Diceros bicornis minor: one gene and its partner. The protein of the gene in region 1 binds, or shares a complex with, the protein of each later gene. Links are inferred from orthologs where the notes say so. Each region holds a gene or a part of one and is shown on either strand. Other genes may lie near its edges.

Region 1 (11,648 bases):
GCTTGCCAAGCAGTGCGTCTGTGCGCGCCCGGGATCCGAACCAGCGAACCCCGGGCCGCCGCAGCGGAGCGCGCGCACTTAACCGCTTGCGCCACCGGGCCGGCGCACTTAACCGCTTGCGCCACCGGGCCGGCCCCTGGAAGGATCTATTTTTAATGGTCCTATAATGGTTAGTGATGCCCTTTGTAGTTATTTTCCTTACAGAAAAATGAGTTCGAATGAAGTTAGAGGGAAAGAGAGAAATACAAAGGAGAACTGATATTTATTAACAGCATGATATGCTGAATTACTGGCACTTTCTCATGCAACTATACAGTTTGCTTTGTTAGCCCTACTTTATTGATAAAAATGGAATCAGAAAGGTCCAGGATTTACCCAAGATCACTCAGCTTGTCAGGAGAGTAAACTGTAAATAGAACCCATGGATAGAATTTGAAAGCCACTGCCCTTTCCTCAAGGTAGTAACTCTCTGCCCTTGTTGATATAAAGGCATTATTGAAAACAATGTTGGTCTACACAGACTTCCGAAAGGCATTCCCGGATGAAGCTAGAATGGCTCTTTATCTTCCTTTCCATTCCACAGTAGAAATCAGATTTAGATCCCAGTGAGTTCTGAAGGGTGGGATGGGGAATTGGGGGGTGGGGGTGGAGACAGCACATGGGAGCCCTGAGGGCAGGGCAGGGTGGGAAGGTGCTTCTGGTCTACTCTAGAGTCTCCTGGAAAGGACCTCTGGATTGTGGCTGAGGATTAGCTTGCAGTTACGTGGTGCATGGTGGCAACTCACAGGGCTACTGAGAGGATGACCAGGGAACTGAGAGGAAGTTCAGAGCATCTACTTGTTACAGAGTCAGTGGGTATGAGGAGGGCAGGGAAATCACTCAAAATGAGTGACTGACTTTAGAAAGAAGACTTTTTTCCCCTAAGAGACAAATATATTTGGTCTTATGGCGGGGGAGCGGATAGGGAAAGAGAGAATTTAAGCACGTCCTCCTCTTTTTTTTGACGCAAAGCCGAGCGTGTCCCCTTCAGTGAGCTCCGGTCCACGCCCGGCGCTAACATTTTCCACAGTGAATGCAGATTCCTTGCTCAGGATCTGGACGTCCGCAGCCTCAGCTCCCCCAAGTTCCACCGCCTCCAGAGGTTTTCTATAGGATTGGAAAGAAAATCGGTCGGAACCCGCCTCCAGGTCCCCGAAACAACGTCCCACAGTTTCCAAACAAAAGCCCTGGGGGAAAGCGAAAGAATTTGCCCCAAGCCCTGGCGCACGCCAGCCACCATCTTTTAACTACAAAAGTTGTCTTCAAGTTGGAGGCGGGTTGGAGGAGGAGCCGCCCCCATCCGGCACCCGGCATTCGCGTAACCCCCCAGACCTTCCGCGCCGCAAGGCCGAGGGTGACGAGACCCTGCAAGTCTCACCTTTCTCCAAGCCCCCACTTTATTTGCTGCCCTAGAGGGACCCAAATTGCTCGACGCCCACAGCTCTGCGCGCCCCGGCTCTCTTTGATCTTAAGAGCCGGAAACCCTGGCGTGAGGGCTGTCCTAAAACAAGAGTTTCCGAGGGTCGGTCCCAGTGCTGCAGGAGCGCCGGAATTTGGAAGCCACGCGACACGTTGCGCCGTCCTTCCCGAAACTTCCAGTCTGGCCGGATTCAGTGGAATGGTAGGCTAGAATAGGCTAGTGCTGAGGATTTAGTTGCTAGTCCAGGTTGAGGAGGGGGCACGGGGAACAGAATGGCAATGCAAATATTCAGCTGGTTTCACTAAGTGCTTGGTGGCCTGCTGGCGCCACGATCGTCCTTGAGAACGTCACTCGATGTTCTGATTTGTCCCGAGGATGGACAGGGGTGGTTCCGAGAGTGGAGCCCCACAGTTTTGAGCTGTAGCTGACTCACATCTCCCTTATAATTACAGAGAGGAAGAGCTAGATTAGATTGGACCACCTCCCCAAGATTATTTCCCCAGTCATCTCCTTTCCCAAGACCGGATCTCCCCGTTCACTTCCAAGGGCACCGACCATACCAAGGCGGGCGCGCCTGGCCCCGTGGGTTGGGGCAACACGCCCCCAAGAAAATGAAGTCAGAAAGTTCTACAGTGAAACGTTTTTTACAGAGCAGCAGATTTCGATAATTCAGGCCAAACTCTCCAAAAACCTCACCTTACCTTCAGGGCAGGGATGGGAGGTTGTCTGGGGGATGGGGTGGAGGAGCCTAGATTACCCAGATAATTGCTCCACCTTGCACTTTCATCCCCAGTAAAGACGGGGCGGTGTGTATTAAGATACTCCCATAGTGATGGTGAAGCAATCGCCATTTGCAGGCTATACCTAACCAGCACTCTTTCAGGGGTAGAAGGTCTAAATTGGCAGTTTTCCTTCCGCACTAGCGGCTGTTGTTAATGATGTCTTAAATAGTTACTTACACACCCAGCAGAAAGGGATTTTTTTTTTTTTAACGAGGCACAACTTCTCACCTATTGAAGTTTATTTTTTCAAAGCTTCGGCCAATACGATGCTTCTTGGTAATTTAGATATCTGTGCTGAAATTTAAGCTCTCTCTTTTTAAAACAAAGTGCTCCGGACGCCGGCGTGGGGAGCCCAGAGGCGGGGCGGATGGCCCAACCCCCTGACTCAGGAGCGGAACTGCGGCGTTCTTGCTAAACTCAATTTTCGGAGAAAGGCAAACGTGGCTTCTGATGGGCTTTCGAGCGGGAGGGGCGGAAAAATTAGGCAGAGCCCGAGCTTCGGTGGGCTGATAAACTTGCTTCTCTTTCCCCTCGGGCTATCCCGGCCTCATTGTGGAGACTGAAAAAAAAACCTAGGTTTCTTCTGGGGCTGAAATGTAGACACGTGCTACGAAAAAAAAGTAATTATTCTGGTTTCTTAAGAACACCAAAAGGTAGGAATGGAGGAGGCTTAAGAAATTGTTTCCAAGGATGTAGGTTTGCAAGTTTGCGAGGTTGCGTGGGTCATGAGAGGCTTCTCTCACCCATGCGCGCGGTAGAGGTGGGTCTTCTACTCTGTTCTTCCGGGGACCTGTGTTTGCCGAGCCCGGAAAACTTGAACCAGGAAACTGAAAGTCTTGGCATTTTCTCTCTCTGCAGCCTGCACGCGTTAAACGCGCGGGCCGACCGACGCTTCTCAGGTCGGGTCAAGGGCAGGCTGTTCCCGGCGCGCGCTCTGAAACGCGGCGCGCAACCGCGGGAAGGTGGAGGCGGGGAGGAGAGCAAGGCAGTTACATCCTCGCGGGTGGGAGTGCGAGACCTCCTCAGCTGCAGCCTGCCAGGTGAATGGGGCGCACAGCCCCGTAACGCTGAGCCTGAATAAAATATGCCAGGACTGCGCTTCTCGGGCTCATCAAGGCTGCGGGAGCCTCCCCGAGCCATCATCCTTTGTAATTGCAACCGTCAATCAAGGCTTTAAGACAAAGTCAGAATCGGGAAGGACGAGCCCTGGAGACTAGTCTCGTCGGAAAGGAGGAGGCGTGTGGGAAGTGGGGGAAAGGGGAGAGAAGTTTGCCAGAAGTTGGCAGAGGGAGTGCAGGAAGAAATTGAGAAGGCGCACTGTAGCTAAGCCGGAGCCGTCTACCCCGGCCTCCCGGGTTCCGGTCTCTGGTCTCCAACACCAGTTAAAATTCCCACAGCTGGGGTGGATTCCCAAGCGTGCTTCCACTAAGAAGCAGAGTGGCTCCAGGTAAGATGCCCCGGGCGGAGGATCGGGTGCGTCTGCCCGCCCATGGGGGCTCTGTCAGCCCCAGCCGGTGGTGTAGCTGTCTCCCAGTCCGCACCATCAACGTTAGACCACACAGGCCCTGTCCCCTCCTTGCATCTCAACGGCTTCCCCTTCCGCGTCCTCTGGGCTCTCCCGCCTCACAGCGCGGCCTCTGCAACCTAGAACCATCCCCAGGTAACCGACCCGAGGCGCCGCGGGCGGCCTCCGGCTCCTCCTGCCCAGAGGACGTTGTAGGAGACGCCCAGGCCGATCCCAGGTCACAGGGCAAGCGGGTCCCCGGCTTCAGTGGGAGCCCCTGCCCACCGGAATTGCAGGGTCAAGGGACCAGAGTGAGTGTTCGGAACGAAGAGGGAGTTCAGAGGGGTGGAAAGTGCGCTTGGAGGGCGGTAATGAGCGCGGCGTCGGAGGCTTGGTGCCGCCGACCTCTCTCTGCGTCGGCCCCGGAGTTGGGAATTCCGCCGCTCCCCTAAGCCCCTTGCGGAGAGACCGAGGAAAAGGTGAGTGTGCCCTCGGGTCTCCGACAAGAACAACTGCAGGGGAAGCTTCGACGTCCCCCGGGAGGATCTGGAGAGGGCTGGCCCTAGGGAGCCCTTCCCTTCCTCGAGCTGGAGGCCTCGAGCGCCAAGGGCTGGGAATTGCTCTGGTTCTCAGAAAAGGAAGTCTTCTCTCGGCTGGAGACCTCCTGCTCTTTCGGTGCCCCTTGGGTTGGCTGCTAACTGAGCCGAGCCGTCAGCCTGGACCAGAGCTTCAACGCAGGGTGAAAAGCCTTGTTCCTTTCCTCTGTGGGACAACTGTGGATTGTTTTAAGTGCAAATTTTAAAATCTTGTCCCCAGCCCTATCCCCCTACACACATCGCCCCTCCTGTTTTGTGAGGAGATGAATGAATGCCAGCTGGCCCTTTGTCACCATCTCTCCCACTCTTCAGGGAGCGTAGTTGGGAGGGCAGACTGGCCTGGACTGAAGAGGGCTTCTTGTGGCCTTAAGTCGCTTCTGGGGCTGAAGCTGGGTTATGAACGTGATCACAAAGTTTGCCTGGCTGTCAGGCTCAGCCTCAAGTGCACGCAAAGATTTTTGCCACACTACAATTACATGGTCGTGTGGGACCCTCTTCCTACTTTCAACTCTCCTGAGTGCTGATTTGAGCTCTGAAACTTACCTCCCTTTCTGAACTATGTAGGTACATATATTCTTCAATCACAACGATACTTAAAACAACTGGTAATACTGGAAATGGATTGACAGTGTGACTTGATACTCTCAGGAAAACCTGAGCATCTTAAGTGTCACTAATTTTGGCAGCTCAAGCCCACTCCCCCTTATGAACTGATGGACAGCCCCCTCCCAAGTTTAAATGGTTTCATGAAACCTGAAGAGGCTACTAAAACTGAAATTTAAATAACTCAGATTCTGAATATCTCCTGAAGAGCAAAATGACAAATCCCTTTAGAGAGCCCAAATTATCTGAATGGCCAGGGGTGGGTGGGTATGAACCACCCACTTCATATAAAAGTGTAGATTTTGCATGGCAATGATTGGAGTATTTTTCAATTTATCAAATACTGTACTGGGCAGTGTGAATGTGTGATCTCTATGCCATTCAAATAGAATAAATTCAGATCTTTTGAGATTCAAATTCACCGCCTTGTGGGTGGACTCTGATAATTACCCGGTCTCACAGCAGACACTGAATATGAGGCATTTCTCGTCTGGTCAGGAGGCTGGAAAAAGTGGTTTTCATCTTGGGATGAGATCTGAAAACTTTGAAGATGTGGCTGGGCTGGTGGCGGAAGAACTTGCATAACAGATGGTTCCTTAAAAGTTTTTTAAAGTGCTGGGCCTCTGGGCTTCATGTGGATCATCCCACCAGAGACACCAGGATGAAAAAGAAAGCCGACTGAGCTTTGCATGTTACCTGGAAGCACAGTTCGCTAAAATTTAGGAAGTCCGCCGCTAAAATAATCTTAGCCGGGCGGGGGGCGGGGGGTGGTGGTTATAAGTGAGTTAAGAAGCCGGGGAAGAGTGCGAAAACAGGGACTGCTGGTCCTCACATTTCCGGCAAGTGAGTGAACTCTCAGCGGCATGGCTGTCCCCTCGTGAGCATGGGCCCAGGGCGCCCGGGGCCCATGGGGGGCCTCTCCGCAGACCCAGTGCCCCGGGGGAATGAAGCCGGAGACCTGGAGAGCTGGCCAGCTCTGTTTTGGAGAAGAGCACTCAACTGAATTCAACATCTCTTTTCTCCTTTAGGTAGTTCAACACTCCCCCTCCAGCTCCTCACCCGACACACACGCGAGGGCACACACCCACACCCACTCACATCCCCATCCCTGCTCCTGGCTTCCCCTCAGCTCCAGGAAATAGCCGCCCTAGCCTTTCATCCTTCGCCACTGCGCTCAGACAGAGGTCGCTTCTCACCAGCTGTAAGACCCGGCAGCTTTTACATCCCCCGCCCCAGGCCAGGGTGGGGTGGGAGGGGGTGAAGGGGTGGAGGGGCTGGGGCAGGCGAGGGGACTGGAGCATGCGCCTCCTCCTCATTGGCTGGCGGCTGGTGTCCGACCCGAGTCCGGAACCCGCGTCCCCATTCACTGTCATCACCCCTCATCCCAGCCTTGCCCCTGCCCCCGGCCCTACTTACCTTCCTTCTCCTTGTCTTCCCCCCTTCCTGCCGGCACGGCCGCCCTCGGGGCTGGAAAGGGCTGCTCTCGGACCCGCGAGAGGAGTAAGGGAGGCTGGAACTTCACAACTGCACACTTGTGACAGTGAGCGAGCGGGAAGCGGAGACAGGGGAAGGGACGGAGAGGAGAGAGGAGAAGTGAGGCGACAAAGAGAGAGAGAGAGAGAGACCCCTGCAGATCCTGAGCCAGAGGGCGGGTGGACGGAGGGGTGGGAGTCGCCCAAGCGGTCCCTCCGGGAGCGGCGGCAGGTCCGGGGCCGCCCCCGCTGCCCGCCCGGAGCCAGCCGTACACGATCCGCCCGGCAGCTGCGCCCTCGCCGCCGCCGCCAGGGCCGAGCAGACCCAGGGCGCCCGGACGCCGTCTCCGCTCGTCTCCTCCCCGCGGCTGGGAGCGGCTCCGGAGCTGCGAGACTGGACGGGGCTCGGGGGTCGGGACGCGCAGCCCCGGAGGAGGCGGACGCACGCTCCCGCGAGCCGGAGGGTGAGCAGGCACCCCGGCCGCCCCTGCCTTCTTTCCGCCGGAGTTGAATCTGTGCTGCCCGTGTCCAGGTGCTGAGCTTCCGGACGGACGCGGACCCCTCTCCCCGCCCGCGGCCGCCTTGTCATGCTGCCTAAAGTGGAGACGGAAGCCCTGGGACTGGCTCGGTCGCATGGGGAACAGGGGCAGATGCCGGAAAACATGCAAGGTGAGCAGGCGCTGCGCGGGCTCGGGCTCCTCGGCCACCCCACCCCCGGGCGCGCCCCGCGGGCGCAGGGGTGGCCAGGCTGGGCGCTCGCGGGCGCCGGGCCCCCTCCCCAGGTGCACGCATAAAAGTTTATGGCTCTTGAACAATGCAGGGCGGAGGTTTTCCAGGCAATGCCTAATTGGCCGCTTCTAATTAAGCAGAGAGGCTTCGAGCTCTGTGGCAACCCGAGCGGGGCAGCTTCAGGCTAAAGATACTTTAGAATAATAAGATCATTCTAAGAAATGGAATGTCTCGCTGGAAGCCCGTGCAGGTTCTCAGTCATTGGAATCTGTGGGAACTTTAACCAGTGCTCTTGTGTGGAGCAACACCACCCTGCCTAGGAAAGTCAACCACAGAAAGAAAAGGAGACTCTGGAAAAGCTTGTCTTAGCGGTGTTAGAATGCATGTGGGCAACCCCAAAAGCTCGGGGGGACACCGGGAGCCGGCTCGAATTTGGACGACTTCAGAACTGCGGGCAGAACTGAAAAGAACCTAAGTTACCCCAACGGCCGTCCTCTGCGCGGGTACTGCCGAGTGAGTGGAGGGCGGGGGCAGCGGTTTAGCTTCTTGCCTCTTCAGTCAGAGAGCTGGGAATATGGAAGTCATATTTGTTTTCCCAGCTCTTGATTGCTAACAAAAAAAAAAGCAGAACCCGCTGGCTATATTTTCTCCGCATTCCAAAATAGCGATTCTAGATCTGGCTGTATTGAGCCCTTCAGAAGTTGATCGCAGTTGCTCTGGGCCGGGGAGGGAACAATGCTAGGAAAAGTCACCGGCGCCCTTCCATCCTCTCCCTTTCCAGCGCGCAGGATGTGCGGGCAGGCGGGCCTGTGATCCCGGGACGCTTCCTGCCATCCCCGTGAGCGAACTTGAAAGGACCGGGAGGTGTTGAGAGCGGAGTTCAGGGCTGGTGCACACGCGGTGCGGGATAGGCGGCGCGCCCGCCCGCCTTGGGAAAAGGGGTGGCGGGAAGGCGTGCGTCCTGCCTGTGGGGTCGGTGACCCTGGAGTCTCTCCAAGCTTCCAGGAAGGGCTGTGGAAGTCCCCTGGGGCTGAGGCCCCTGAGAGTAACTTGTAGGTTGGCTGCTGGGGGAACCCGGTTGGCCCAAAGAGGCATTCCCGCGGGCACCTGGATTCCCGCGAAGTGCGGGCGCGGGGGAAGCCGGATCGGGAGACCCTCCGCCGCCAGCTGCGGAGAGGGACTGTCCTTTGGGCGCCGTGAGGCCGGCGGATTGTTGGGTCCAAAAGGAAAGTTTCTGCCCCTGGTTCCGTCGCGCGCCTTTCTGAGGGACTCGGGGGAAAGAGGCTCAGGGAGACGCTGCAGCAAGAAGTAGGGGAGGCAAGAATAAGGGGGTTTGGGGGGAAATGAGAGAGAAATGCTACTGTAATATTTTCTTTGTAAAGTTCAAGAGGGGCGTTCTTGGATGACCTACTGTCCCAAAGCGGAAAGTTAGCTTTCTCTCGGGCGCAGGGCTCAGGAGAAGCCGCCGGCCGCTCGCTGGGCGGTTGGAAAGCCTTGTGGGAAGCGCCGGGCCACGGCTCCCTCTAGGCCACGCGGCCTGCCCCTCGAGAAGCCCCTGGGGACGGAGACCCCATGCCCTTGCTTGCTCTGGTCTCAGCCGGGGACGCGCCGTAATCTGGCCCGTGGGGGAGCCCAGAAAGGGGACCCGCTGCTGGGTCCCGGGGCAGCGCAGCGCGTCCAACTTGGGGAAACTTCCCGTGCCTGTCTGCGGCCTTAGCTTTCCAAGACCCCACCGACCCCTCTACTTTCTCCAGGCAGGGACTTCTTGGCCCCGCCGGCTTCGGTTCTCCAAAAGCCTGCTTGGGATACAGCACCTGGGGACTCTGAAAGATGCCCGGTCTTGCTTAGCGGCCTCTGTCTTTGAACTTTCCACGAGGGTCCCCACCCCCAGCCCCTGTCCCTTCGGTGTTGGATGTCCGAGGTAGGCGCCGAGGCCGCCTATGAATGGTTGCTTCTCTGTGCGCCTTGGGTGCGAAGGTAGAGTTTACTTTTCTGGGGAAAGAGGAGGTAAAGTACACTTCTTTTCCGTCCCTAAAACACGCCTCAAGGCAATAGTCACGAGTTTTAGGAGAGATGGGACTATAAATAAACTTATCCAACCCTCAGCCTCCCCCAAGCCCCCAGGTTCCCAAAACCTGAGCGCAGACTTCTTAGGGTTGGGACTCGGGCTGGCTCCGCTGGGAGGACTGCGCTCAGCATCTCGTTATTTCCGTCTCCGGAGCCCAGGCGCCTGCCTCTGCTGGAACATCTTTTCCTGAGATCCTCCCAAACTCTGGCTAACTCACTCCAGTTCAAGCCCCAGGCCAGGGCTCTGTGTCTCGGGAAGAGAGGCTTCAACTCAGCCAGTCGGTGCTCGGCCCTCAGCCGACAAGTGCTGCAAGTGACCTCCCCCTCCACGGCCCTTTCCTGGGGCCCGCGGAATCCTTAGAGAAAAACTTTATTTTAAAAAGAAAAAAAAAAAAGAACAAGTCATTGGCAAGGAGGCCACTACGGTGATAGAGTGGCCGGTACTTCGGGGATGCAGTGGGGGCTTTTTCTCTCTTTCCTTTTTGGTAAACAAATCAGAGGAAACTTCTGCCCGGCCATCAGCTCCCCCTCCCCCCCGCCCCGCCCCCTGCAAATGCCACTGATTAACTTAAAACAAACTCGACTCGGTGTTTGTGCGCCTGTGTGTAGCCGAGGTTGAGCAAGGGACCAGAGGCGAGTGCGCCTCGGGGTTTCACAGGAAGGCGCCCCGAGGGGTGCGGTCGGTGGCCGGGCTGCTCGAACCTGCCCCTGGCCGTCGGGACCCGCGGCGCCTGCCCTCCGAGTCGAGAGTCTCAGGGAGGGACTGATCAGGTAGTATCTGGGGTCTCCCGGCCACTGCCCCTCCTGTCCGGAGTTTATCCATCTTTTAGCAGCGAAGACGCCGTCGCGAGGCTGCCTCCCGAGGAAGGCGGTTACCCAATCCCCGCAGTGAGGCGCGGCTACACGGCCTGATTTCTGTTTAACTTGAACAGGGCGATCTCGAGGTGTTTATATTTTGCAGTGATGATCGGAAACATGTGAAGTTCAAGACAGGGCTTGCAACGAAACCAAACCCTCGTGTGTGTCTTTTCCTCTTCTTTACTTTTTCTTTTGTTCCGGCGTCCTCCCTTTTTTCTTTTTCTTTTTACAGGAGATTCTCAAATGTGGGGAGATGAAAGTACCCAGCACAGGAGCCCTGCCAACACGGAACTGAATGTTTCGATTAATCTAACACATCTGAACCGTGGGAGCCGCAGGCTGTTGTAAAAGTGGGGCTGAGGCTGAGAAGCAGGCCTGTGGGGCTTCAGGGTCTCGGTCAAGTGTTTGCAAATTGGTGTTGCCATCCTTCTAAGCGGGGTGTACTTGCAGCAAACTTACTTCAGGACTGGGAGAGTGATGTGTGTGCTTGTTCCTCTCCCTGAGGCAAAAGTGACATTGTGGAACTTAGTTGTTAACTTTATGCAATTCGTGTTTCTCTTTGGATTGGCGTTTTGCAGTTATGTGTTCAACAGCGGTCACTTTAAAAATTTTTATCAAAAGAAATTGGAATTCTTTTTAAATTAAAAAAAAAAATGTGAAGTGCATGCTCATTGATGCCAAAAGATATTTCACTTTCACTGCATAAAAATAGTTCTCTTCAGTATACCTGGGTAAAAATTATTTTTATTTTTCCGGGTGATATTTGCCCACCAATCACCAAAATGCTTTTCATTGCAGGACTAAAACCTACATGGTAAATTAATTGGAGATGTGTATACATTTCTCTTCTTGTTTCAGTGTCTCAGTTTAAAATGGTGAATTACTCCTATGATGAAGACCTTGAAGAGCTCTGTCCGGTGTGTGGAGATAAAGTGTCTGGGTACCATTACGGGCTCCTCACCTGTGAAAGCTGCAAGGTTTGCTTACACATTGCTACCTGAGAAATATAATGTTCAAAACCAAAATAAACATTGGATTACCTTTTAAAGCTAAATTTAGGCTGGTTTTTTTTTAACACTCAATTAAAAAGGAGATCGAGAAAGAGTCTTAGGCAGATGATTCTTAGAAATATGTGTCTGATTTAATTCAAAAGGCAAAGAAATTTATGTTGTTTAGAGAATGTTGCCAGTCCCATGGCTTTAAAATATTTTATTGTAGTAAAGTGATGTTGCTGTAGAAAGACTTCTATTGCTAACAGTCCTAAATATTGATTTTGCTTCACTTATATATATTTAAAGCATCGTTGTTCTTGAGAGGAAACATGACAGAGTATCTCCCAAATACATTCTAACTGCAGAGTATTCTGTGCTACAAGTCTAAACATTTTTTATCCACAGACATAAAAGTCGAAATTCTCAACCGCCTGACTGCGTCCTGACTTATTCCAAAAATAATGTTTAAGATTTTTTTAAATTTATATCATAAAGAATAAGAGACCAGATCTTAGTTTATAATAGAGTAGTTTTTATAAATATAGTATATAACCTATGTAAATGCAAGAAATTTTAATATGTAAAA
Region 2 (11,537 bases), on another chromosome or scaffold:
TGCCAGCCAACTTGTTTTCATCCATCAGGTCTCAACCCAAATGCCCTTCCTCTGTGAGGCCTTTACTGACCCTGATATACAGAGCAATTCTCCATCTCCATGTGTTTACTTTCAAAGTGCCTTGTGCTCATCCTCTGTAATTACTTACTACAATTGAAATATATGATTAAGAAATTTTGGTTCTACATCCATCTCCTCTCACTGGAATATAAACATAATCAAAGATAGAGCTTGTCTGATTCATCCAAACATTCAGCTCAGAGTCTCAAATGTTGTAGACCCTCAGTAAATATCTGGAGAATGGACAAATGGTCTTTGCTTGATACTATTGCATCTCATTACATAACTTATCAATAAATATTGGTAAAATTTATTGACTTATTAAGTACCCAGTAGTGTACTGAACATTTTACAAACATTACTTGACTTAACACAATGCTCCTATGTTACTGTCCCCATCTGAGAGATGAAAAAACAGGGACAGACAAGTGAAGTCTTGTGCCCAAGGTCACAGAGCTGAAAAGGTAGGACCAGGATTCAAACCCATGCAGCCTGTCTCCAGAGTGCACACACTAACCTACTTCACCTTAGAGTTCTGTCTCCCTGAATTGGCATTCTGATTTTATACATCAGCCCCAGACGGTTATTTGATGTGACTCTTCCCTGAGAAACCAAGGCCTGATCTTGGACCCTGGTGAATTTACTAAGATAATGAATGTCCCCCTCTTGGTGACCAATCAGTCTCCCCTAGTGACCTCTGACCCCATCTACATTTGAACACCACTAATGGCAGGCAAGTGGCTGATTACACCAACCGTGCTAAGTGCTCTCTGAAGGGTGTGGACTAGATGACAGGGAACTCAGGGAGGGAGCAATTTATTCTTCCGAACAGGTGGAGAGGGCAAGACAGGAAACCTGCACTAGAGCAGTAATGTTTGAGCTAGACCATTAAGGGTGACCAGGAGCTTACCAAGCAGACAGGGTAAGGGAAAGGCATCCCAGGTGGGGGAACAGCATGGGCAAAAGCTGGGAGGCACAAAGGTGCATGACATGTTCAGGAAACGAAAAGGTGCCCAGTGCTGGCTCTCTGACTCCCAGTTCCAATGCTTAACCCATGCCCCCTGCAGCCCAGGATCTCCCAGCTGCCCCTTCAATTAGTCTGAGGACTCGGTGCACAACAAAAACAAACGTGCATCCTGGGCATAGGATTGCAGAGCATTTTCACATACATTATCTTATGGAGTGTCCTTTAATTTTACAGATAATGCAGTGCTTGACACACAGTAGGTGCTCAATAAATGTCACTTGTTATCATTCTTAGGATGTTGATGATTATTGTTCCTGCTTGGACAGTAACACCCCCATCCTATTGTTGCATGAAGATTAACTGAAATAATTGTTGTGAAAGTACTTGGTAAACCGTAGAGTGCTGTACAGATGGGAAAGCATTGTCATGAACTTTTCCTCCAGAAAGTCTTCCAAATTCCAGCTCCTTAGCCCCCCGTACCATTTGAGCATTCCCGCCCACCACTGATGTGGCGTCCTGGCTCCCTTGTTAGAGCTACTGAGAACGGGGCTGTCTCTCCCTCCTCAGAATGGGGCCTCCTCGGGGCTGGCCTGTGTCACCCCAATTAGATTTGGGGTTCCCAAGGGCAGAGCTGTGTCTCCCCCTTTAGACTGGGGTCTCCTGAGGGTTGACCTATGTCTCCTCCTTTAGACTGAGGGCAGGGCCTAGGCAGAGGGCAGCTGATGGACCATTTTCTCCCACAGAGGCCTCCTACTTCTCTGAGTGAGTGGCCCCAGTCAGGCTCTGGGCTATAGAGATCCCAGCTGAGGCCTTTCCTCACCCTCCAGGGCCTCCAGGACTAGCACCCTGGTCTTCAGGCCATACACAGGAATCAGAAAACACAGTTCCCCACAGTGCAAAAAACGCAAGACTTAAAACCTGGAGACCTAGCTTCCAGCCCAGCCTTACCGTGACCCCCACAGAGGGGTCTCCTCCCTTCTCTGGGTCTCCTCCTCTGTAACCTCATCCTCTAGGAAATGAGGGTAAAAAAGCAACAACAATAATAGGGACAATTTCCCTCCTTTATGGAGCACTTGCTGTGTGCCAGGCACGTGTGTCCTCACAAACACCTCACTTGAGTCTCACTAGCACCCAGGAAAGGCACTATTAGAGGCAGATTTTCTGTGAGGCTAATGAGGCTTGAATTCCAGGGCCTGCACGGGCCCATCCAAGGCACTGGGAGAGACCCCAGCAACGTCTTCTTAGGGTCAAATACATATATATTTTTTCTTTTTAATTTGCAAAGATAAAATTTTAAAACTACAATTGTTTAAAAACCACTGTTTCTTCCCACTCTATCCCACTTCCCAATATGAATTATTCCCAAGACACCTAGAATTACGTGCGTGGTGGAGGAGAAAAAAATTTGTGTGGATCAAGAAGCCAATCTGTGCAAAATTCTTTCAATCATCACGAAATTGTCATTTCATATTGACACCAACTCAAAAAAGGAAGTTCTCTTGTATAAGAAATATGCAGGCTATGCAATTATAAATGCTCCATGCATGTTTTTCTTTTTTGATAGGAATTACACAAAGTAGAAATTATCAAAATTCCTACTACAAACCTATAAGCAGCACGACAAGTAGCAAATACATCTACATGTGAAGTGGCATGTCTTATGTATCCTAACTATCAGGAATAAAACTTTTTTGTTGATCAACCATGGAAGAGGAAAGACAGAATCATTCTCACTAGAATTCTTACTGTAGAATTCTCACTGTTGATTCTCACAGTAGAATCTCACTGTATCCTCACTGTAGAATTTTATTTTATTTTTTAAATAATTTTATTTATTTATTTTTTTCCCCCAAAGCCCCAGTAGATAGTTGTATGTCATAGCTGCACATCCTTATATTTGCTGTATGTGGGACACGGCCTTAGCATGGCCGGAGAAGCAGTGTGTCAGTGCACACCCAGGATCCGAACCCGGGTCGCCAGCAGCGGTGCACGAGCACTTAACCGCTAAGCCACGGGGCTGGCCCTAGAATTTTATTTTTAAAAATCATTGACAGCTCTACTTCCTCCTCCTCCTGAAAATTTCAATCCTAAAACTATTAGCAGAACAAGGTACAAATATGCACCAGAAGAGAGAGGGAGCCACAGCAGCCCAGAGCAGAAGTTAGAGCTCCACCAGGGTGCGGAGGGCGTCCACACAGAGAAGCCACCTGGTGTTGGGTGACAGATCCCCAGCTGCGTGAAGAGGGCGTCCCCGAGGGGGAGGGGGCACCTGACACAGGTATCAGAGCCCAAGTGGGGTAGGGAGACATCTCACAGGGGAGGGGGCGACAGTGGAGATGGAAGATTAGTTACAAACGGTGGCTTTATCCAATAAGTAAAAAAATTAAGAATAATGGAAGCCAGATTTCTGAGTGTCGGAGAAGGGAGGTGTAAATACAGAAAGAGCGAAAACTAGAATGAACCTTGTTTTAGTGGATTAGAACTGCAGATAATGATCTGAACTCATGTTTTTTAGTATATGTATGAATAAATATAGAAATAAATATAAATGTGTGTGTGCGCGCGCGCGTGTGTGTGTGTGTCTGTACATTCCTTAGCTCTGGGACGGCCTAGGAGCAGTGACACCCTAATAGCAATGAGCAGATCTTGGTTTTTAAATATTCTAGTCCCCAGATTATGGTTTTTAAATACTCTTCTCCACTAGAAGATTGAATCAGAACTTCTTGGAGTACTGGTTGATTCCAGGGGCTTGAAAAGTGGTATCTTCTTATACCAGAAGACAAAGGATGTTCAAAGAATGATGGGGCATGTCAAAAAGACACAGACTCCGGCTTGAAGGGGCTCCCATTGGCCAAATCTGTGACAATTTTAGCATCAAAATAATGATAGTAACAGATTGCAAGCCACTGAATAAAATAGGAGACCCTGCGTTCCTAACTAAATACATACATACATACATTCAATGTATGAGGAGGAATATATAGATAGTTTTAAAATACATCCTCATAGGGCCGGCCTGTGGCTTAGCAGTTAAGTGCGCGCGCTCTGCTACTGGCGGCCCGGGTCCGGATCCTGGGTGCGCACTGACGCACCGCTTCTCCGGCCATGCTGAGGCCGCGTCCCACATACAGCAACTAGAAGGATGTGCAACTATGACATACAACTATCTACTGGGGCTTTGGGGGGCAAAAAAAAAAAAAGGAGGAGGATTGGCAATAGATGTTAGCTCTGGGCCGGTCTTCCTCAGCAAAAAGAGGAGGATTAGCATGGATGTTAGCTCAGGGCTGATCTTCCTCACAATAAATAAATAAATAAATAAATAAATAAATAAATAAATAAATAAATAAATAAAAATACCTCCTCATAAAATACTGATTCATTACAAAGAGGAAAAGATGAACTATAGTGGAGAAGCTTGGCAGCCATCACCTTAATCAAGTGACCAAAGTGATCAATGGGACAAATGGAAAAGTACGCTCCCTGATAGGATGTATCAAGAGGAACACAGTACCACTTCTGTGATATTCCTGCTAAAGATACATAGCCTGAGCAATCACAAGGAAGCCTCAGACAAACCCAAATTGAGAGCCATACTACAAAATAACAACTCTCCAGAAGTGCCAAGGTCGTGAAAGGCAAGAAAAGACCAAGGATACTTCCTGACTGATAAAGACTAAAGAGACATGATAAAGAAATGCAATGTGAGATTCTGGGCTGAGCCCCTCCACCACCACAATTTCACTGGAGCATTTGGTGAAACTTAAATGGGGTCTGAGATTAGATGTTAATTTCCTGATTTTTTTCCATGTTAATTTCCTGATGTCGATGGTTATGCACTATATATTGTGGTTATATAGGAGAATGTCCTTGTTTGTAGGAATTACACACTAAAGTATTTGGGGGTTATGGAGCATCAGGTTGGAAGTTTACTCGCAAATGGTTCAAGGTTAAAAAAGTTCTCTGTACTGTACTTGCAAACGTTGTTTGTGATGGTTTCAAAATAAATATCATTGACATGAGAAGAGGTGAACAAAGAGTGTGCAGCTAAAACACGTAGGTAAATATTGTCAGGCAATTGATCAGTAAAAGTACCTTGGTATTCTCCTGGGTTTGCAATGTTTGTGTTTTCTGTTGGCTTATTTTAGTTTGTAATTTGTAGAGATTTGTTTTTTCATTTTAATTTTTTTTATTTATCTATTTTTCCCCCCAAAGCCCCAGTAGATAGTTGTATGTCATAGTTGCACATCCTTCTAGTTGCTGTATGTGGGATGCGGCCTCAGCATGGCCGGAGAAGCGGTGCGTCAGTGCGCGCCCGGGATCCGAACCCCGGCCGCCAGCAGCGGAGCACGCGCACTTAACCGCTAAGCCACGGGGCCAGCCCATGTTTTTTCATTTTAAATATTCACTTTCATACCTGATTTTCTATTCTTAAAGAAGGCCCTTCAGATTGTATAAGCTTCATACCCCATAAAACCAATATCCACTATTGGCCTTTCTTACCACCCTTTTAAAGATGAGGAAACTGGGCCAGCCCCGTGCCTTAGCGGTTAAGTGCACGTGCTCCACTGCTGGTGGCCCGGGTTCGGATCCCGGGCGCGCACGGACGCACCGCTTCTCCGGCCATGCTGAGGCCGTGTCCCACATACAGCAACTAGAAGGATGTGCAGCTATGACGTACAACTATCTACTGGGGCTTTGGGGGAAAAAATAAATAAATAAAATTAAAAAAAAAATTAAAGGTGAGGAAACTGAGGCATCGAAATATAAAGTGACTTGCTCAAGGTCTCTCATCTAAGTGATGAAGCAGGATTTGGACCCAGGCGGTCTGACTCCAGAGTCTCCTTTGAGGGGACACTGTGAGGATTCAGTGAGATAAAAGGACGTGAAAGGGGGGCTGGCCCGGTGGCGCAAGTGGTTGGGTGCGCACGTTCCGCTGCGGCGGCCCGGGGTTCGCCGGTTCGGATCCCGGGTGCGCACCGACGCACCGCTTGTTAAGCCATGCTGTGGCAGCGTCCCATATAAAGTAGAGGAAGATGGGCATGGATGTTAGCCCAGGGCCAGTCTTCCTCAGTAAAAAAGAGGAGGATTGGCATTGGATGTTAGCTCAGGGCTGGTTCTCCTCACAAAAAAAAAAAAAAAAAAAAAAAAAAAAAAAGGACGTGAAAGGAACTTTGTAAATGTAAGGATTAAGATTATTGACAATCAAATGAAAGATGCATGCCCATTTGTCTGCTGGGGCTTATTTCCTTAGGCAGAGGGAAGCGGGGGCAAAGCCCTCCTACTGTATACCAGAAACTGCTTGGAATTTGACATCCAGGACCTCACTTTGTCCTCACAGCAGCCCTGCAGGCAGACAGACATTATTGTTCCAGGTGAAGCTCCTGAGGCCCACAGAGATTTGGGGATCAGCCCAAGGTCACACAACTAGAAAGTGATAGAGCCAGGAGCAGATGCCAGGGATGGTGATGGCTGCCCAATGGTGTGGTAGCAGAAGGCTTGCCAGGCTGGGCTTGCCAAGGTCCACAGATATGACACAGCCGAGGACCTTCCCACCCGCTTTCATAATCCACGCCCCACCGTCTGAGACAGATGCCCAGGACAGAGGAGTCATGTGGCTGGCGGCAGAGCAACGTTTCTACTCAGATTATAAGTGGGCGGCAGCAAGGTGGGGGCCCAGGTAGTCACCAGCTCTGGGAAACCCAGGCCACACAGCTCTGGCTACACAATTGGGCCAGTGGATCCGGAGGAACAAGCAAAGACTTTGGAGTCAGATAGATCTGGGTTCTGTCTCTTTTTAGTGGCGTGACTTTGGGCAAGTCACTTCACCTCTTTAAGTCTCAAAAAGTAAGACTCCTGCCTCATAGGGAAGCTCTGAATATTAGAGTGGAAAAATACCTGGCACATAGTGGGTGCTTAATAAACAGCAGCCATATTGTATTATCATTCTGGGATGGCAGGAGCTCTAGGAATCCAGACTGGAGAGAGAGTTCTTAAGGACCTTATTTCTGCAGGGCCCCTCAAACTGGAGTCAGTCCACTCCTAGACTGCACAGTAGGCAAAGTCCTCTCAGCCTCCTGGGGTCTTGGCTCCCTTCCCTGCAGCCTGTTCCTTACCAACAACAGCAGCAGGGCCCCAAGGTTAGGCAAATAAGCCAGCGATAAGGTACTTCCAGGTTGGGCCTTGTGTTCAAGGCTTGTCCAGCTCGGGCTGGCTTCCCGGTTTAGCGAGAGTCTCACAGGCACCAATAGGGACACTTGCCATGGCCACCTGCTGATCGTGCACCTGAGGCCTTGGTGCCCTGGTACAGCCTGGGTTAATGACCCTGTTTATCCGCTTGAGTCATCCGATAAGGGGCAGCCAGGACAACGGGCAGGTGGCCCCATGCCCTGCACCGGCCACTTCATTGACTAAAGCAATATCAGGGCCACGTGGAGCTCCCAAGGCCCCCCCTGTCCCCTGCCACTTCCCCACTAGTCCTGCCAGGGTCAGTGTGTGTTTCTTTTTTTTTCAATGAACATGACTTCTGGAGTCAAGGTTGTTGGGCTGTTCCCTCCTCCCCACCATTGGAGATATAAATAGCACCCACAGCACAGAGCAGAGGGCGGGAGAGCTGGGAGGAAGGAGGAGCAGAGCCTCAACCATGAGCTCCAGCCAGCCAGGGACCTGCCCATGCCAGGGTGCTGCAGGCCGCCCAGCCATTCTATATGCACTTCTGAGCCCCAGCCTCAGGGCCAGGCCCTCTGTGGCCCCAGCCCGTGGCCACTGCCTGTGCAGGCAGCACCGGCCTGTCCAGCTGTGTGCTCCCAATCGCACCTGCCAGGAGGCCTTGGATGTTCTGGCCAAGACAGTGGTCTTCCTCAGGAACCTGCCATCCTTCTGCCAGCTGCACCCCCAGGATCAGCGGCGGCTGCTGCGGGGCTGCTGGGGCCCTCTCTTCCTGCTTGGGTTGGCCCAAGACACTGTGACCTTCGAGGTGGCTGAAGCCCCGGTTCCCAGTATACTCAAGAAGATCCTGCTGGAGGAGCCCAACAGGAGTGCAGGCAGTGCCCAGCCGCCTGATCGGCCCCAGCCCTCTCTGGCTGCAGTGCAGTGGCTTCAGTATTGCCTGGAGTCCTTCTGGAGCCTGGAGCTGGGCCCCAAGGAATATGCCTACCTGAAAGGGACCATCCTCTTCAACCCTGGTGAGCTCCTAGGCACTCCTGGATGGGGGCTAAGGCTGGAAGGGAGCAGGGCCCAGCCAGGGAAGGCAACTTCTAAGGGCTTGACATCTGTTATCTCTTTGAGTCCTCATTATCACCAAATAGTTATCTCACAAAAGAGGCTCAGAGAGGCTAAGTGACTTGCTAAAAGTCACACAGCCAGGTGGGGGCAGAGCAGGGATGGGAACTCAGGTCTATTCCAGAGACTTGCTCTTGCCACTCTGCCCAAGAAACATGCCCTGACCCTCAGGGAAGGTGGGAGTGGGGGAGGGGAGGGTGGACAGACACAGCTGTGCCTCAGTCACAGGTAAAACTCTGTAGTTTCAGAAAGACCACGTAGAGAAGAGGAATGAAGACGAGGGGGTGTGGGGAGGAGAGGGAAGAGTCAACAGATAAAGGTAGTGTTCTTTGTAATCTGGAGAGCTTCTAGACGAGAATTCTTCATCAAAGGGCCCTCACAGAATGTGTAAACTAAAGTAATTAATTATAATAATTATACTCATATAACAGCTAATACTCATATAACACTTACCATATGTTAGGTCCAGTTCTAAGGGTTTTACATATACTAGCTCATTTAAACCTCATAACAAGCCTAGGAGATTGGTACTATTATTATCCCCATTTTACAGATGAGGAAACTGAGGTACAGAGATTAAGTAACTTGCCCAAGGTTACACAGCATGGAATTCAAACCCAGGCAGCCTGGCTCTTAACCATTACTCTATACTGCCTCTCCATAAATGGATGGATGAATAAAATGATAAATAAATAAATGGATGAGGTAGTAATGGGGCCTCAAAGGCCGAGCTGGTGGCCTCAGGTCTTGGGCCAGCCTTGCCCTGTGGTGTCTGGGAGTGGGGTGCTCACCAGCCCTCTTCACCTTCTCTGCCCGCAGACGTGCCAGGCCTCCACGCCACCTCCCACGTCGGGCACCTGCAGCAGGAGGCTCATCAGGCGTTGTGTGAGGTCCTGGAGCCCAGGTGCCCAGCAGGCCAAGGCCGCCTGGCCCGTGTCCTCCTCACAGCCTCCAGCCTCAAGTCCATTCCGCCCAGCCTGCTTGGGGACCTCTTCTTTCGCCCTGTCATTGGAGACATTGACATAGCTGGCCTCCTCGAGGACATGCTTTTGCTGAGCCAACCTGCTCCAGCCCAAGCAGAGATCAGGTGTAGGGTGTGCAGAGGCTGGCAGCACTGATTTGGCCTGGCTGCCTGTCCCCAGGGGTGACCCAGTGCTCCCAGAGGATGCAAACCTGTACAGACAGCACTTGGCTCCTGAAGAGCAAGCTGGCCCTGGCCCAGCCACACCCCATGTTGGCCTTCCTTGGTTTGGACACTGCTCCAGCTGTCTGGCCGGCCCTTGGTGGTCCCAGAGCCTCTGGGCCAAAACTCCTGTCCCCTCCTGGGATGGGGATGAAAGCTTAGTCTGCTCATTGGGCCAGGAGTCCTACTGACTTTGTACAGAAACGACTTAAGTTATTGGTTTTTGTAATAAAAGGTGTGACAAACTTGGAGCTGACACTGTAGTTTGTCCCTGAGGAAGGAACCATCTCATCGCCAGCACCCACCCTGCCCCTATCAGAGGGAGCCCAAGAGGAAGGAACCATAAGGGGTGCAGGAGCCAGGCCTCAGGGAACTGGGATATTAATTTTTCAGGATGGAATGACGATTTCATTTCTGGAGATGAGATTTATTTTGCATGGGTCTGAATCCAGGGGATAGTATCAGTTCAGGACCCCCTCACCTCCTTGCCTTTATCTTTGGGGGGAGAGGGTATCTCTCCCTCTCCCCAAATCCCCCACGGACCTCTCTCTCAGCTCCTGCCCCAGGCTCCCTCTCACCTCAGTGAGAGTCAGGTCACAGCCAACGAGGAAAATGAAGCTGCCCATTCCAAAATTGAAACAGACAAGGTCATTGGAATTTCTGCAGTTTGGAATCATTCACTTCCCCCATTCCTGCAGCCCACAGAAGAGGGTGGTCCATTGTTCTCTGATCCGGAGGGGGCAAGGGACCCAGTGCTGGCCTGGCAGCTCCTTGGAGGCCAAGGCAGGCCAGGTTTAGCTGCCATGCCAGCTGGTGAAGTCTGAAACACTTTCATGATAGTTGGTTCACAGTCACTGCCCTGAGCCCCCCCGAGCTCCTTCCACTGCCCCTCTGCCCCAGCCCTTCTCCTGGAATCCAATCCCATTGTCCAGCAACTAGAGAGGCAATGCTTGGGTGGCCACGGCCTCCAGGGCTGCTCCATTCAGTGCCTGGCTTGTGTCCATTCTGATTGGTCGATGTCTGTGCCTCACGGTTTGTTAAATATTTTGAATATCCCCCAAGTCAGGACGACTGAGCTGCAGGGTGGGCAGGAGGGAATGATAACAACACACATGCCTACAGGACCCCCTTTCAGGCCTCCTCCTTTCTCCAGCAATAAGGCCTACCGACCAGGCCCCAACCCCTTCATCACCACAGTTTGGATTCTTCTCATGAAGGCTAAGTTAATTATTGTTCAATGAGAGGTCATTCACTTGGGGACAACAGTCTAGGAGTCGTCATTCAGGCCTCTCCCTAAGGCCCCCAGGATAGGGACCACAATTGAATTGGCCATGTACCCATTATGGGAACCTAGTGCCAGCAGCAAGGGCACCCCTGTGCCTTACCCAATCACCCACTCATCACTCTGACACCCAATGAGACAGAAACACACAGCTCGGACCCCACAACAAAGACACACGCAACTCAGATCTATGACTCTCTCATATACACACTAAGACATACAATGCAGATACACCTACACAGACCCATAAAACAGACCCTCCAGCTGCCCACACACAGCAAAGAAATGCACAGCCCATGTACACTCACTCGGTGACATACAGCGAACTCAAACACATTCACAGAACAGAGACACACACCCAAGCCAGATGTTCATACATACTCCCCTGCGCCCAAGGGTGGGGCACACCACACGGAGGCACTCTTACACGAGGGCATGTTTTCCATCTTCTGTATGTCACAATAAAAGGAAAAGTGGCCCCCAAAGTAGGTAAATCTGTGTCTGCACATCTTCAGGGTCTACCCAGAGCCTGCAAATCCAGGTCAAACTGCTCTGCCTGGTGTTTGGGGTCCCAACTAACCAATCACGCCCTTTCCCCGTGGTGACCCCAATATCCACCCTCCTCTCAGACAGGCCATGCCCTGCTCACCAACTCCCCCCATCCAGGACCTAATCAAATCCCTAAATAGAAGCATCCTTTAGAGCCCAGAACAAGCCTGGGATCCCTTCACTCCCTCACTGCCCACCAGAACCCCCAGACCCAGACC

What was found.
Region 2: the proteins of NR5A2 (region 1) and NR0B2 are in contact, whole or in part, in a crystal structure (PDB 1YUC), measured with the Homo sapiens proteins. The link is inferred for Diceros bicornis minor from reciprocal best matches to the Homo sapiens genes NR5A2 and NR0B2. Residues at the interface, in NP_995582.1 of Homo sapiens: Phe354, Val357, Arg361, Phe366, Val371, Asp372, Gln374, Met375, Leu378, Gln379, Asn529, Asn530, Leu531, Glu534, Met535; in NP_068804.1 of Homo sapiens: Arg17, Pro18, Ala19, Ile20, Leu21, Tyr22, Leu24, Leu25, Ser26, Ser27, Ser28.

Annotation. Positions count from the first base shown.
Region 1 is NC_080777.1:28,490,777-28,502,424, forward strand, and holds the start of NR5A2 (nuclear receptor subfamily 5 group A member 2), read left to right. Parts: upstream 1-6,330; 5' UTR 6,331-6,484; exon of another isoform or gene 6,485-6,948; 5' UTR 6,949-7,003; coding exon 7,004-7,085; intron 7,086-7,187; exon of another isoform or gene 7,188-7,657; coding exon of another isoform or gene 7,658-7,658; intron 7,659-9,828; exon of another isoform or gene 9,829-9,983; intron 9,984-10,013; exon of another isoform or gene 10,014-10,579; coding exon of another isoform or gene 10,580-10,580; intron 10,581-10,928; coding exon 10,929-11,047; intron 11,048-11,648. UniProt on the Homo sapiens protein: Orphan nuclear receptor that binds DNA as a monomer to the 5'-TCAAGGCCA-3' sequence and controls expression of target genes: regulates key biological processes, such as early embryonic development, cholesterol and bile acid synthesis pathways, as well as liver and pancreas morphogenesis.
Region 2 is NC_080752.1:42,663,632-42,675,168, reverse strand, and holds NR0B2 (nuclear receptor subfamily 0 group B member 2), read left to right. Parts: upstream 1-7,667; coding exon 7,668-8,208; intron 8,209-9,124; coding exon 9,125-9,423; 3' UTR 9,424-9,661; downstream 9,662-11,537. UniProt on the Homo sapiens protein: Transcriptional regulator that acts as a negative regulator of receptor-dependent signaling pathways. Specifically inhibits transactivation of the nuclear receptor with which it interacts.